Anolis sagrei: one gene and its partner. The protein of the gene in region 1 purifies or fractionates together with the protein of each later gene. This does not show direct contact. Links are inferred from orthologs where the notes say so. Each region holds a gene or a part of one and is shown on either strand. Other genes may lie near its edges.

Region 1 (7,289 bases):
CTCTTTTTGCACTTTCGTTAGCTCTGCAATCAACATTGTGAGGTATGGTGATCACAACCATATCCAGCACTGGGATTTCACAAGAGAGGCAAAATAGTCTGGCCTTGTAGGAGGCAAATACTTATGTGCATTTTGCACATAAATAGCAGCAGCAACAACAACAACAACAACAATGAAGTGGGAAAAGCTGCCCATCACTATTGTGCTTAATTTAAAAAGAGGATGTTTCTCAGAAAGAGTGGGGTTTGGGCAAAAAAATGGTGGAAAAGTGAGTCAAATCTCTCCAAAATACCAAATGCAGAAAGATAATTCTTTATTTCAAGTGGTGAGGAAATGGAGCACAAACTTAGGCTGAAGAATTGTACATTTGACAGGCTAAGAAAACATTTTTTAACTGGAGTACAATGAAGTATAAGAGCAACATATCTCCCATAATGTAGATCTAATCCTGTCCTAATCAAGTCACACCCCAAACCAGGAGAGCAAAAGGCCAGATTTCCCTTGGGAGGTTCATCTCATGCTTAAGAAAACCAAGTTCATACACAATCAATAATGGATTCCTAGAGGAAGAGGTCTATCATAGTAAACCTGGTTGCTTCTAGACCTTGTGATCTGGTTGGTTTTGTGACATCCCATATGTACTTAAACCGGCATATCTATACTGTGGAATTATTGTAGCCTGACACCACTTTAACTGCCATGGCTCAAAGCTATGGGATCCTGGAAGTCGAACATTGGTGAGCAGACCTGTAGTCAAGGGGCGGGAGGGGTCCAACCTCCCCCCCTCCCCAAAAAACCTGGTTTGCTTATGAATTTTAACTGGTTAACCAAATCCCCATGCTAAGTTATGAGAAACAAAAATTAAACGAGACCCTCCAGAACTTCAAGCACTATCTCAAGCAATTTTTAACAATGTATTCACACTGTCATTACTTGCAGCAATAGCCGATATAGTGAAATTCAGGATATGTATTTCCTGAGTCTTAAAATGAAATGGTTCAGCAGATTTCCCTGGTTAGCCTACTCATTTAATGTACAAGATGCATGGTGGTGATGTGTGGTGATTGGAGAAGAAGTTGGGGAAAAGGTGGTCATCAGTAGCTTTGTGCTTTGGTTGCTAAACCATTTGTGGGATGGAAAGATGCAACAGAAGTTTTCAATGGACACCATCAGAACATCGGAACCAGGTTTACCTGGATTAAAGGAGCCCTGGTGGCACAGTGGGTTAACCCTTGTGCCGGCAGGACTGAAGACCAACAGGTTGCAGGTTCGAATCTGGGGAGAGTGCGGATGAGTTCCCTCTGTCAGCTCCAACTCCCCATGCGGGGACATGAGAGAAGCCTCCCACAAGGATCATAAAACATCAAAACATCCAGGCGTCCCCTGGGCAACGTCCTTGCAGATGGCCAATTCTCTCACACCAGAAGCGACTTGCAATTTCTCAAGTCGCTCCTGACACATACACACACCACACACACAAACACACAAAATCAGAACAACTTGTGCTCAGCTGAAAACTTCAGACTAATTCAAAGTGGAAAAAGTCCTGATGAGGTACCAGCCCTCATTGGCAGGGAAAGTTAAAGGTCTTATAAAACTACAGCTCCCAGGACTATTCCATACCCTTGAGTTCTGGTAGTTAAGGCAATGGCTACATTCCTCAGTGTAGCTCAAGGCAATGGCTACATTCCTCAGCAACACACAGTAATGACTATGTTTTTGCTTAACTCAATCTAAACAGCTGTCCTCCTACTTAACAGGTCAGTTGAGTAGAAATTACATTTTCCCACTGAACAGATTGCAGTTTGCTATTACTGGAGAAAGTCATATGACTTGCTTTGAATAGCGCTACGTTGTCCTGGAACCCTCCTGATTTCTATGCAATTAGAGCAACTAATTGTTAATAATAGTGATAGTAATAGTAATATTGGCACTCTATTGTAAAATATTCTGAAGATATGTTTTTTATCAAATCTAGAAAGCTTGCATTTGCCATTTGGCTACAATAATGGCAAATTAATGACAATTGCTGTTATTTTACTATATCTTCCAACCCCGTTTAGCTTGTGATTTTAACTAATTTGTTCTCCTCTAGTCATGTCCGACTCTGGGGGAGGAGGTGTTCAACTCAATTTCTAAGCCAAAGAGCCGGCGTTGTTTGTAGATGCATTCAAGGTCATGTGGCCGACATAATTGCATGGAGCACCATTACCTTCCCGTCAAAGCGGTACCTATTGATCTACTTGCATTTGCATGTTTTTGAACTGCTAGGTTGGCAGAAACTGGGGCTAACAGCAGGAGCTCACCGCTATCCCTGGATTTGAACTGCTGACCTTTCGGTCAGCAAGTTCAGCAGCTCAGTGGTTTTAAAAAGTGTATTTTTATTCTATTTTAATATGTACACATTGTAGGTTGTAAATTGCATTGTTTTTAAGATGGTAAGCTGCTTTGGGTCTTGATTAAGTGAGGACAGCTGGGCACAAATATCATCATCATCTATGGTTAAATGGTTGGATGCTTTATTGCTATATGCCTTATGAAGCCTTTGAGTTTAAAAAGTATAAACACTTTTAATACGCAAAACAAAAGAAAAGAAACTTGGAGCCTATACAGGATTTTATTGTGGGCCGATACGCCCTCTAATGTCTACTGTAATAATTTGCAATTGTAAGTTGAATTCAGAAGCATGTGTTGCCTCTAGCAAAGTGTCCATACAGTGTAATTAGTATAGCAGTTTGACAGCACTTTAACTTCCTGGCTCCCTGAAAGAGAATGCTGGAATTTGAAGTTTGGTGAGAATAGACTTCCACAGCACTCTCTTGAATATTGTTTATGATAGAGAAGCCTAAGGATGCATCTATACTGTAGGATTAATCCAATTTGACACCACAATTTTAACTGCCAATGTGCTTTATTGGCTCTCATGATGATTTATTTTATGACTGAATTTATACTGTTAATTTGCGTTGCTTATTGTTTATTACCATATTTCATGGTGTAAGTTGCCTGAGTCCTCATGGGGATTTATTTATCGTGTCAGAAGTGAATTGAGAATATTGTTATAATGTATTAAAAACCACAAACAAAGTTCAAAACTTGGCATATACTAAATGTCCTTTGACCAGAGGCTGGTAATGGCGCACCATGCAGTCATGCTGGCTACATGACCTTGAAGGTGTCTATGGCCTCTTTGGCTTAGAAATGGAGATGAGCACCAATCCCCAGAGTGGGACACGAATAATGTCAAGGGGAAATGTTTACCTTTATTTATACTTTTTGGCAGGGAAGGAGTAAGACCTTGTAAAACTACAGCTCAAACTGCATTCATCCTACGGTGTCAAACTGCATTCATCCTATGGTGTAGATGCAGGCTAAGCCACTTCTGCACCAAACTAGGAGTCTAGTGTCTAGATCCAGGGAAGTCATGCTACCCATGCTCTATTCTGCCTTGGTTAGGCCACACCTGGAATACTGTGTCTTGGGCACCACAGTTGAAGAGAAATTGACAAGCTGGAATGTGTCCAGAAGAGGGCGACTAAAATGATCAGGGGTCTGGAGAACAAGCCCTATGAGGAGCGGCTTAAAGAGCTGGGCATAGCCTGCAGAAGAGAAGGCTGAGAGGAGACATGATGAGGGCCATGTATAAATATGTTAGGGGAAGTCATAGGGAGGAAGCTTGTTTTCTGCTGCCCTGGAGACTAGGGTGAGGAACAACGGCTTCAAACTACAAGAAAGAAGATTCCACCTGAATATGAGAAGAACTTCCTGACTGTGGGATCCGTTCAGCAGTGGAACGCTCTGCCTCAGAGTGTGGTGGAAGCTCCTTCTTTGGAGGCTGGATGGCCATCTGTCGGGAGTGCTTTAAATATAATTTTCCTGCTTCCTGGCAGGGGATTGGACTGGATGGCCCACCAGGTCTCTTCCAACTCTATGATTCTATGATTCTACACATCCCAAGATTTCACAGGAAGCAACTATGACAGTTAGAGCAGTATCGAACCGCTATAAATGTGTTTCCAAACCGTGGTTGCGATTTCAAGGTAGGCTTTGAATTGATGCATTTTCATTCGAAACCTTCAACCGTAGTCCAACTCTACTCACTCTGTCTGGTGCTTCCTGGGGTCCTTCGACTCCTTTTTTGCGCATGCGCGCTGATACTCCTGGGATTTGTAGTCCGAAGAGGCGGCACTGCGGCGGGTCGCTCACGCCGCACGGACTTCCTTTCCCATGATGCTTTGCGGGCTGTTGCCAACGGAAGTCGGCCGAGTAACATGGCGGCGGTTTCGGAGACGCAGTGAGTCGTTGCCGACGTCGAGGAACGTTCCAGGTGAGGCGAATGGCGGCTCTTTTGGAGGAATAGCGGGCGACTGACGGCAAGTTTGCACGCTTGGCCTGGTTTGAAGGAGTGGGGGCCCCTTTGGGTTCTGCTGGTTTTCCTGGGGAAGACAGACTTTTGAGTTGCTGCCCTTAAGGAGCTACAGCTGCTGGGTTGTAGATTTTCCGGGCTATATGGCCATGTTCCCGAAGCATTCTCTCCTGACGTTTCGCCTCCACCTATGGCAGGCATCTTCAGAGGTTGTGGCCTCAGGCCCCTTCCTTTTCCCCCTCAGCCGCTTAAGCGGCTGAGGGGGAAAAGGAAAGGGCCTGAGGTCACAACCTCTGAGGGTGCCTGCCACAAATGCAGGCGAAACGTCAGGAGGTAATGCTTCTAGAACATGGCCATATAGCCCGAAAAACCTACAACAACCCAGTGATTCGGGCCATGAAAGCCTTCAACAAGACATAGCTACAGCTGCTTTTTCATTGTAGAATTAGTGCAGTTTGACAATGCTTTAATTGGCATGGCTCCATGCGGTGGAATCCCGAGATTTGTTGTTTTGCGAGACTTCAGCACTCTATTACAGAGACTGGGAAAAACTACAATCCCATAGCATTGACCCATGACAGGTAAAGTCCTGTCAAACCTCATTAATTCTACAATATAGATGTTACTTGGTGTTTTTCTCATATGCCCCTTAATCCTATGTCGAAGCCTGCTTTCCCCCCTCTATTTTAGGTTTGTTGTGTGTCAATGTTATATTTATATGCTGACTTTTTCTCCACAGAGTTCAAAGAAATGCCCTTTTGTCTGGAACCCCTGCTCCTTTTTTATCTTTAGGACCATGTTATGAGGAGCACATGATTGTGATATTGTACAGTATATTATATAATACTAATAGTAGAATGTACAGGTAGTGTATTATATATTGCAATATAATAATATAGTACAATGTAATATATAATAATATGATAATTTTATATTATACATCAAATATATTACTAGTAATATTGCAGTATAATGTTTGATGTAGATGTGGATTTGCTTTTGGAATTTTGGGGTGGGGTTGGTTATTTTTGTTTTTGTTCAGCTTCTCACGGCATTGCCAATATCTGTTGTTAACCGCCCTGAGTGCCCTTGGGGAGATAGGGTTGCATATAAATAAAGTTTTATTATTGTTCTTGTTGTTGTTGTTATTATTATTATATTGTGGTTTGGCTGGGAGAGAATCGGAGCCAAGTTAGGGTTTGAGCCCAGGCTCCCTGGTCCAGGTCTGACACCATAACTCCTGCAAACCAGCAAGATTAATGAAACCTACCTATAGATCATGCATATAGTGGTGTGGTGGCTTTAGCATTTGAGGAGGACTCTGCAGAATCCGCATTTAGCCATGGAAGCCTTCTGAGTTGAATTTTGCCTTGCCAAAAAGACCCCATTGATCAGGTCACCATAAATGGAAAATGATTGGAAAGACATACAGCAGCAATTACAATTAGTGTTGCATTTTGGATTCATTTCTTTCTAACATACTTATGCCAGAGCTTTCCAAACATTTCATGTTGGTTTTTTAGACATGCATCATCTTGCAACACAGTAATTCTGTTTTACTGGTAATATACAGGCATATACAAAAGCTATAATAACAAAATCTTAGAATCATTGAGTTGGAAGAGACCTCGTGGGCCATCCAGTCCAACCCCCTGCCAAGAAGCAAGAAAATCACATTCAAAGCACCCCTGATAGATGGCCATCCAGCCTCAGCTTAAAACCCTCCAGAGAAGCAGCCTCCACCACACTCCGGGGCAGAGAGTTCCACTGCTGAACAGCCCTTACAATTAGGAAGTTCTTCCTAATGTTCGGGTGGAATCTCCTTTCCTGTAGTGTGAAGCCATTGTTCCGCGTATAAGGACACAACATATGTCAAGAAAGCCTTTCTACAAATATATAACTGTTAAGATAATAACCTGTATTTCCAAGATTTTTGTCATTTCTTGTTACATTTTCACAATACATTACATACTGCAGCCAACACACTAATGTGTGCCAACACAGTTTGGAAAGCTCTGCTTATAGGCACAGAAACAGTAATTTACCTCACTTACATGTAACTTTTTTTCTTCCTATTGCAGTCAGCCCTCTATATCCATAATTCTGCATCCATGGATTCAAGTATACATAGCTTGAAATTTTCTTTTTCAAAATCCAAAAAGCAAACCTTAATTCTGCCATTTCAGATAAGGACAGAGGAAACAACCAGGCACATCTTAACACCTCTCAACAGAACATTTTCCCAGGCTCAGCCAAGCCTTCAAATGCTAATGAAGGTGGTCAGCTGAAACATTCACACCTAGCTTCAGCAGAGAGCTCTTTGCCCCACCCAGTCATTCCCCAGATATATAAACCCATTTTCCTATTTCCAACAGACCTCACTACTTCTGAGGATGCTTGCCATAGATGCAGGCGAAACGTCAGGAGAAATGCCTCTAGAACATGGCCCTATAACCCGAAAAAACCTACAAGAACCTAGGACAGCATTTTATTATGCCATTGTATATAATGGGACTTGAGCACCCACAACTTTTGGTACCCTCCTTGGGGACAGGGGGTCCTGAAATCAGACCCCAGCAAATACCAAGGACCCATTGTCAGGTGGGCAGAAGATGGCCTCCATGAATGTTTTTGTGGCACTCAATTGTACCACACTCCTTGGGCTGTCCTTTACCTTCCTCTTTTAGAACCTCCAAAAGTGTCAGCCTACCTTTTAAACAGATTGCATGCTGCCTCTGTACTGTGTGAAATTTTCAGGAAATTTGGTTTTTAAAACAGGTGGAAATTTGTCTGGTGTGGCATTTTGTGTGGATCCCAGATACCGAAAACTGGGTCTCAAGCCTTCTGCAGATGCCCAGATATGTATGGACTTCAAACTAGTATTCCTTTGCAGAGGCTAGTCAGGTTATATACTTGAAGTGCT
Region 2 (7,426 bases), on another chromosome or scaffold:
TGAACTGGGTTATCTGAAGGCGGTTCTAGACAGGCCTTTTATTTTACTTTTCAAAGTGGTTTGGGGGCTTTGGGGGAGGGGGAAAGGTCCCCAGATGTTCTGCCAGGCTGTGCGCGCTTTCTGGGGTGGGTGTAGACAGGCACCCAGGAACATCCACAATTTTAAAACGTGGCTGGTTTGGGCAGAAATTATATCATTCATATATATGGGAAACAAGCTTGCTCCCTTTTCCCTATGACATCCCCTCACATATTTCTCAGCCTTCCCTTCTGCAGGCTAAACACGCCCAGCTCTTTAAGCCGCTCCTCATAGGGCTTGTTCTCCAGACCCTTGATCATTTTTAGTCACCCTCCTCTGGACACATTCCAGCTTGTCAACATCTCCCTTCAATTGTGGTGCCCAGAATTGGACACAGTATTCCAGATGTGGTCTAACTCCAAGTCTACAGTTTAGAGTTGCCCCTAGTTAGTAGATGGTAATCCACTAACAGTCTTGATCAGCTGTGATCCACATCAGCAGCAGTGTTTTCAAAAAATGAATGCCCAGACACATGAAATAGTAGAATAAGAACTGGACAAAACTTATAGTTCAAAGGGGGAAAAGACAAGCCCCTCCAGCCCTGTAGATGCTGTTCTTGAAACAGGAATATATCTGTGAAATTGCTCTCTCGCTTGACAATAGCATCAATTTTCATGGCACCAGAGCAAACCTGAGATATATAAATGGAGTTTGCTGTCAAATTAAACACTTTTTGCTCTAGCATTTAATAAAGAACAAGATTGGTTTATTGCTCTGCATATGCCTCCGCTATGGGCATTATTTCTTAAATAATCAAGGGTGTGCGGGACAGGACACACCATCCACAAAGATTAAATTTAACCATGCCTTAGGACTAAAATATGATATTGATTTTTTCCCCCCTGTTAAGAGAAGAGAAGCCAATGCACTTGCTGTACAAAGCTAGGCTACAATCGCTTGGTTGAAAAGCATATAGGATTTTGTTCAAGCTGTGAAGAATTTATGCCTTTGAGGGATGAATTAATTTTGGCCAGAGGTTGTTAAAAGAAGGAAAGGGAGTGGAAAAAGAAAGGAAAGAAATAGAAGATTAGTACGAAGCCTTCATAGCATTTGCTGAAACTTATATTAAAAGAAAATGAAAAAATTGGACCAACATATTTTGTGAGAATATACAAAAAGTAATCTGCAGATTTTTTGGAGGGGGTGCATTGCTTCATACATATTTATATCTGTGTGTGTGTTGCACACACAAACATACATACACAATATATATCAAACTTTCAGTTAATCGGAACTTAAGCAACTGCAACTCTCAAACAACCGGACAAAAAATGGAAGAAATACAGTAATACTGCTGTAAAGGCTTCCTCTTCGTTGTCTGATACTCTATTCAATCTAGTATGCTGCCACCATCTGTGAGGTGCTAGGTGATGCTGCCACCAATTAATAAGGGTTTCCTATTCAGTTTATTAATGGATTCCCCTATTTTCAAATAGATTCACTGCTACCACTCTGTAGTGTTTCTTTTGGTGTGTAGCGAGTTTTCCCCCCCTTGAAATAGTACACTGAGACTTGAGTTACTAAAACAAGAACAAGTTTTGTTCTGTCGCGCGCTGGGCCTGTAAAGAATTTCCTTTAAAATAGGATGTGCAACCTTTGCCCAGCGGGAAGCCAGGGGCCCCCAAAGAGAAGTTCTCGGGGATTTTCTAGAAGTGATGGTTTTTAAAGTCTTTGATAATGCAACAAAGTCTTTATTATGGAACATACAACAAATCTTCAATTGTTCAAACAACACTTCAAGGCTTTCCCAGTCTAGTCCTCAATGGACTGGCACCTGACTTTGATAAATTAAACTTTCTCTGTAGGAAAAAACCCTTTTTAACTTCTCCCAGGCTGACTGTAATCTAATCCTTATTGATGTGGGCTCCGCTACCAGGTCGATCTGCATCTCGAGCATTGAGTGGACCTACCAGTAAGGCTAGTAGATTCTCCACCTAGAATTTTGTGGTCTTCCAAACTGTTTGCCCTCCAAAATTCCTCAAGGCTTTAGAGCTGTTTCCCTGGAAATCTTCGGAGATCTTTGGATGCTCTTAAGACTGCAAAGTCTTATGGGTTGAAGCTTTTGTACAGGAGAAGCTTGTACACGTCCTCTACATTAGCTTTCCTTACTGAGACTAACTAAAAATGGCTCCCTTCCCTATTGCCCTGAGCAAGGGGCGGGACCAAAACTTAACGATGATGGGCAGGTGACTTGCCCTACAACTGCAACCAAAGGAAGCCACCTATCTGCAGAGTCCCTGAAACCTTGGACTGCAAGCAAACATTTAATACAAAGCAAATAAAGTTGGAGCTCCTGGTACAGCCGTACTAGCACAAGTTTATTTGGAGTAATAAATAGTTTCAGAGTTCTCTTCTCCTGAGGTATAAAGCTTCACGAGTTACAGTTTCAACAAATCTTAACGTAACTTTAGGACGTCTTTTACTTCACCAACTAGTTCTTTAGTTGTTATACTTCTAAATATGTTTCCTTATTTGACAGATTAACTAAGGTTACCTAATGCCCTTGTCTCCCTTCAGCTTCCTGCTGAAGTAAAGATTCCCAGTGGGATTTCTTCTATTAGCACACAGCTAAACCACAAACCTAAATAAGTCCCCTTGACTTGATTAAATCACTCAGGCTAAAAGCTTTCCCTTAGTTTGGTTCACCACACGTTTGAACCACCTTCCCTTTAGCTCGCTGACTAAAGGACTGAAGCCTCAAAATGTCTGCCTCTGGTAAGTGCAGTTGGCTTCACCCTTTTCTCCATGGCAACCTAACTCAGAGTGGCAGGGTTTATATATCTATGGAAAGACCAGGGTGGGACAAAGGACTCTTGTCTGCTGGAGCTAGGTGTGAATGTTTCAACTGACCACCTTGATTAGCATATAATTAGCATATAGCCAGGAACTGTCAGGCCATTTTATGCTAATCAAGGTGGTCAGTTGAAACATTCACACCTAGCTCCAGCAGACAAGAGTCCCTTGTCCCACCCTGGTCATTTCACAGATATTTAAACCCTTTTCCTATTTCCAACAGACCTCACTACCTCTGAGGATGCTTGCCATAGATGCAGGCAAAACGTCAGGAGAGAATGCTTCTAGACCATGGCCATATAGCCCGAAAAACCTTACAACAGCCCACTCATAGGGACTGTTGGAATCAAAAATGTAAAATGTAGGCACCAGATGGCGCTGTGAATGCTCACAATATGCTCAAACAGAGAGACATATTGTAACACTACCAATTTGGATAAAACTTCAGAATTATATATAAAACAACTGTACAGATTTGGTTCATTTAAACCATGTGGATATTCTGTGCGTATACCAGTACTCAATCTGGTGGAAACCAGAGCAGAGACTCCTAGAAATCCCAGATCTTTTGCTAAAGATTCCTCTGTATGTAGGGTTGAAGATATTCTTCATTTATTTCTATTCTTCAAAGCTGAGCTGGTGCAAAAGGCATTTTTAAATGTATAAACATAAATGAATTCCATGTTTAGACTCGGATTCCATTCCCATGATATTTTGTTATGTGTATGCAAGGATTCCAAAATCGGAACAAAACTCCAAATATGGCACATTCCATCTGAACATGAGGAAGAACTTCCTGAGAGCTGTTCAGAAGTGGAACTCTCTGCCCTGGAGTGTGGTGGAGGCTCCTTCTTTGGAAGCTTTTAAACAGAGGGTGGATGGCCATCTGTCAGGGGTGATTTGAATGCAATATTCCTGCTTCTTGGCAGGGGGTTGGACTGGATGGCCCATGAGGTCTCTTCCAACTCTTTGATTCTATGATTTCTGGACATGGGATGTTCAATGGTATCGTCATCACCATCATTTCTTACTTGCCTTTTCCAATGGATTGAGGTGGGCAACAATAACAGAATTAGGAAACCAAAGGACTAGGCCATTATTAGGCCTCTATACTTAGGTATGGGCCAACTTGGACCCTTCAGGTGTTTTGGACTCCAACTCCTACCATTCCTAATAGAATTGTGGGAGTTGGAGTCCAAAACACCTGAAGGGCCCAAGTTGGTCCATGCCTGGTCTAAATGCATGCCAAAAAGGAGAGAAAAAGTAGAATTGGGGAAAAACCCTGGTCCCAAATTGAGAAACTCCCAAACTCTGGATCTCCAAGTGTTTTCCTATTTTTGGACTTCATATCCCAGAATTCCTGGCCGTTGATCAACGCAGCTGAGGCTTCTGGGAAGTGAAGTCCATAATGGAATAGAGTCAAGACGGGCCTCTGTCTCCTCCAGACGCGCATGCGTAGTCGGTTTCCGTCCTTACTGCGCATGCGTGCCGCCTTCCTCCTCAGTCGTCGCCAAGATGGCCACCGCGGCTGCTTCTTCGTCGGCCTCTGGCGCCTCTTCCTCCTCCTCCTCCGGCCCGGGAGGCTCGAGCTCATCCGGGCCCGGGGGAAGCGGAGGGTCTGCATCCTCAGGCCTCACGGCCTCGCTGACAGGGACCATGAACAGGAAGAAGAAGCCTTTCCTGGGCATGCCTGCGCCGCTGGGCTACGTGCCGGGCCTAGGCCGCGGGTGAGCCGGGGGCTCGAGTTGGGAGTTGGGCGGCCAGCGAGGCCTCGGTTTCCCTTCCATTCTGTCTCTCTCTTTGGACTTGTATCTACACTGTGGAATGAATGCACTTTTGACACTACTTTGACTTGATTGCTAGGACTCATGTTGTTTCACAAGGCCTTTAGCCTTCTCTGCCAAAAAGTACCGAACTACAACTCCCAGGATTCTATAGCAGTTAACGTGGTGTCGAACTGCATTAATTCTACAGTGTAGTTGCAACCCAAGCAATTCCTGCTTCAGTAGAAAATTGCGCTTTTCTTTCCTTCTTCCTAAAATACTAATACTAATAAACTTTATTTATTGTTGTTGTTCATTCGTTCAGTCGTCTCCGACTCTTCGTGACCTCATGGACCAGCCCACGCCAGAGCTCCCTGTCGGCCGTCACCACCCCCAGCTCCTTCAAAGTCAGTCCAGTCACTTCAAGGATGCCATCCATCCATCTTGCCCTTGGTCGGCCCCTCTTCCTTTTTCCTTCCACTTTCCCCAGCATCATTCCCTTCTCCAGGCTTTGCTGTCTCCTCATGATGTGGCCAAAGTACTTCAGCTTTGTCTCTAGTATCCTTCCCTCCAGTGAGCAGTCGGGCTTTATTTTGGCCTTGCCCTGTGCAATTTCTGTGTTTACTGTCCGATTTTATACTGCTGTCTCGTTTATTATTTAGGTTTTGCATTTTATGTTTTTTTTAGTTCTGTTATGCCTTGTGTTATATTGGGTTATGCTTTTGTGTAATATTGTGTTTACTGTATTGATGGGTGTGGCCTCATGTAAGCTGCCCCGAGTCCCCCTGGGGGAGATGGAGCAGGGTATATTATTATTATTATTATTATTATTCCGGACCCAGCTTTCATACTATTACCGCCTTCTCTGTGGTTGCCTCCCGCCTCTGGAACTTCCTCCCTAAAAATATCAAAACAGCCCCCTACTTAAAATAATGTAAAAATACAGTAAATTAATAAATAGGAAAGGGTATAAATAATGTTTATTGTTATTAGTGGGATGGGCATACCAAGCCACCTTGTCTCTCTCCTGAGGAATTTGTACAAGGACCAAGTAGCAACAGTCAGAACTGACCACGGAACAACAGACTGGTTCAAGATTGGGAAAGGCGTACGGCAAGGCTGCATACTCTCACCCAACCTTTTAACTTGTATGCAGAACACATCATGTGAGGATGTGCAGGGCTTGATGAATGCAAGGCTGGGGTGAAAATTGCTGGAAGAAACATTAACAACCTCAGATATGCAGATGACACCACTCTGATGGCCGAAAGCGAGGAGGAGCTGAGGAGCCTTCTAATCAAGGTGAAAGAAGAAAGCGCAAAAGCTGGGTTGCAGCTAAACGTCAAAAAAACCAAGATCATGGCAACAAGAATGATTGACAACTGGAAAATAGAGGGAGAAAATGTGGAGGCCGTGACAGACTTTGTATTTCTAGGTGCAAAGATGACTGCAGATGCAGACTGTGGCCAGGAAATCAGAAGACGCTTCCTTCTTGGGAGGAGAGCAATGTCCAATCTCGATAAAATAGTAAAGAGTAGAGACATCACACTGGCAATAAAGATCCGCCTAGTCAAAGCCATGGTATTCCCTGTAGTCACCTATGAATGTGAGAGCTGGACCTTAGGGAAGGCTGAGTGAAGGAAGAGAGATGCTTTTGAGCTGTGGTGTTGGAGGAAAGTGCTGAGAGTGCCTTGGACTGCGAGAAGGATAAAAATTTTAAATTTTAAAACACTGGGAGATTGGGCAATGGAAATTGTTGGGGAGGGAGATCCAGATTGAGGAAGGAATTAATTGCACGAACCATAAAGTCCTTCTGAAGTCATTTGTACGAAATTTGGTCAGGGAGTATCTTACATTCAATCATTGAAGGCACGTTGGAATAACCAGGTTTTCAGATTCCTCCTGAAGATTGCCAGTGTGGGGGCTTGCCGAATGTCTCTGGGGAGTGAATTCCAGAGCCGGGGGGCTATCACAGAGAAGGCCCTTTCTCTCGTCTCCACAAGTCGCACTTGCGATGCAGGCGGGAGCGAGAGAAGAGCCTCTCTGGACGATCGAGCTTTACGCTCTTTCCACTTCGCTCCTTCAGGAGTGCTGTTTGCGCAACGCAGAACAGAACACAGATATTGTAGAAGGAATGTAACAATTCTTTAATGGCAAAACCTTAACCCAGAGGCTGGATAGTCATCTGTTAAGGGGTACTTTGTGCTTTTCCTGCATGGCAGGAAGTTGGACTTTATGCCCCATGTGATCTTGTGCAACTCTATGATTCTATCATTCTAGGTGTTTTGGACTTGAGTTTTTCTGTTGTGTGTTAATACAAGTTTTCCACCCCAAGATGGTGCTAGTAGAGCAGAAGACTTTTACTTTTGCCTTTGTGGTCTCTTCTGCTCCCACCCTGGGTCCAAACACTTTGATATGTATGAAACAGGGAGTCCTTTGGAATCTTCAAAACTAATAGATGAAATTCTGAGTAATACTACTTTAATGCAGGGGTCCTCACTTTTTAAGCCAAGGGCTGGTTTACAGTTGTTTTGGACTTAGGGCAACCCTAAGTCTAAAGTTGAGGAGGAGTGGGGAGAGACCTCACTTTAGCACTTCCACATCCTTTAAGTATAATCCATAATTTCTAGGAAAAGAATAAAAGTACATTACAAATGGATCGATTTGGTCGGAGATGCCAAGATCTGCAGTAGGCAAGCACCGAGCTGTTATTTCTAGGGTGCCATAGATTGAAGTCGACTTGATGACAAACGACAACAGTAAATGCAGTGTTCAAAGTGATAAATCTCACT

Evidence for each region.
Region 2: the proteins of DDX23 (region 1) and PRPF6 purify together in Homo sapiens (affinity purification with mass spectrometry; 3 studies listed by BioGRID and IntAct, counting the BioPlex papers as one, with this or other methods). This does not show direct contact. The link is inferred for Anolis sagrei from reciprocal best matches to the Homo sapiens genes DDX23 and PRPF6.

The regions. Positions count from the first base shown.
Region 1 is NC_090022.1:137,777,899-137,785,187, reverse strand, and holds the start of DDX23 (probable ATP-dependent RNA helicase DDX23), read left to right. Parts: upstream 1-4,239; 5' UTR 4,240-4,377; intron 4,378-7,289. UniProt on the Homo sapiens protein: Involved in pre-mRNA splicing and its phosphorylated form (by SRPK2) is required for spliceosomal B complex formation.
Region 2 is NC_090024.1:237,895,229-237,902,654, reverse strand, and holds the start of PRPF6 (pre-mRNA-processing factor 6), read left to right. Parts: upstream 1-4,370; 5' UTR 4,371-4,386; coding exon 4,387-4,598; intron 4,599-7,426. UniProt on the Homo sapiens protein: Involved in pre-mRNA splicing as component of the U4/U6-U5 tri-snRNP complex, one of the building blocks of the spliceosome.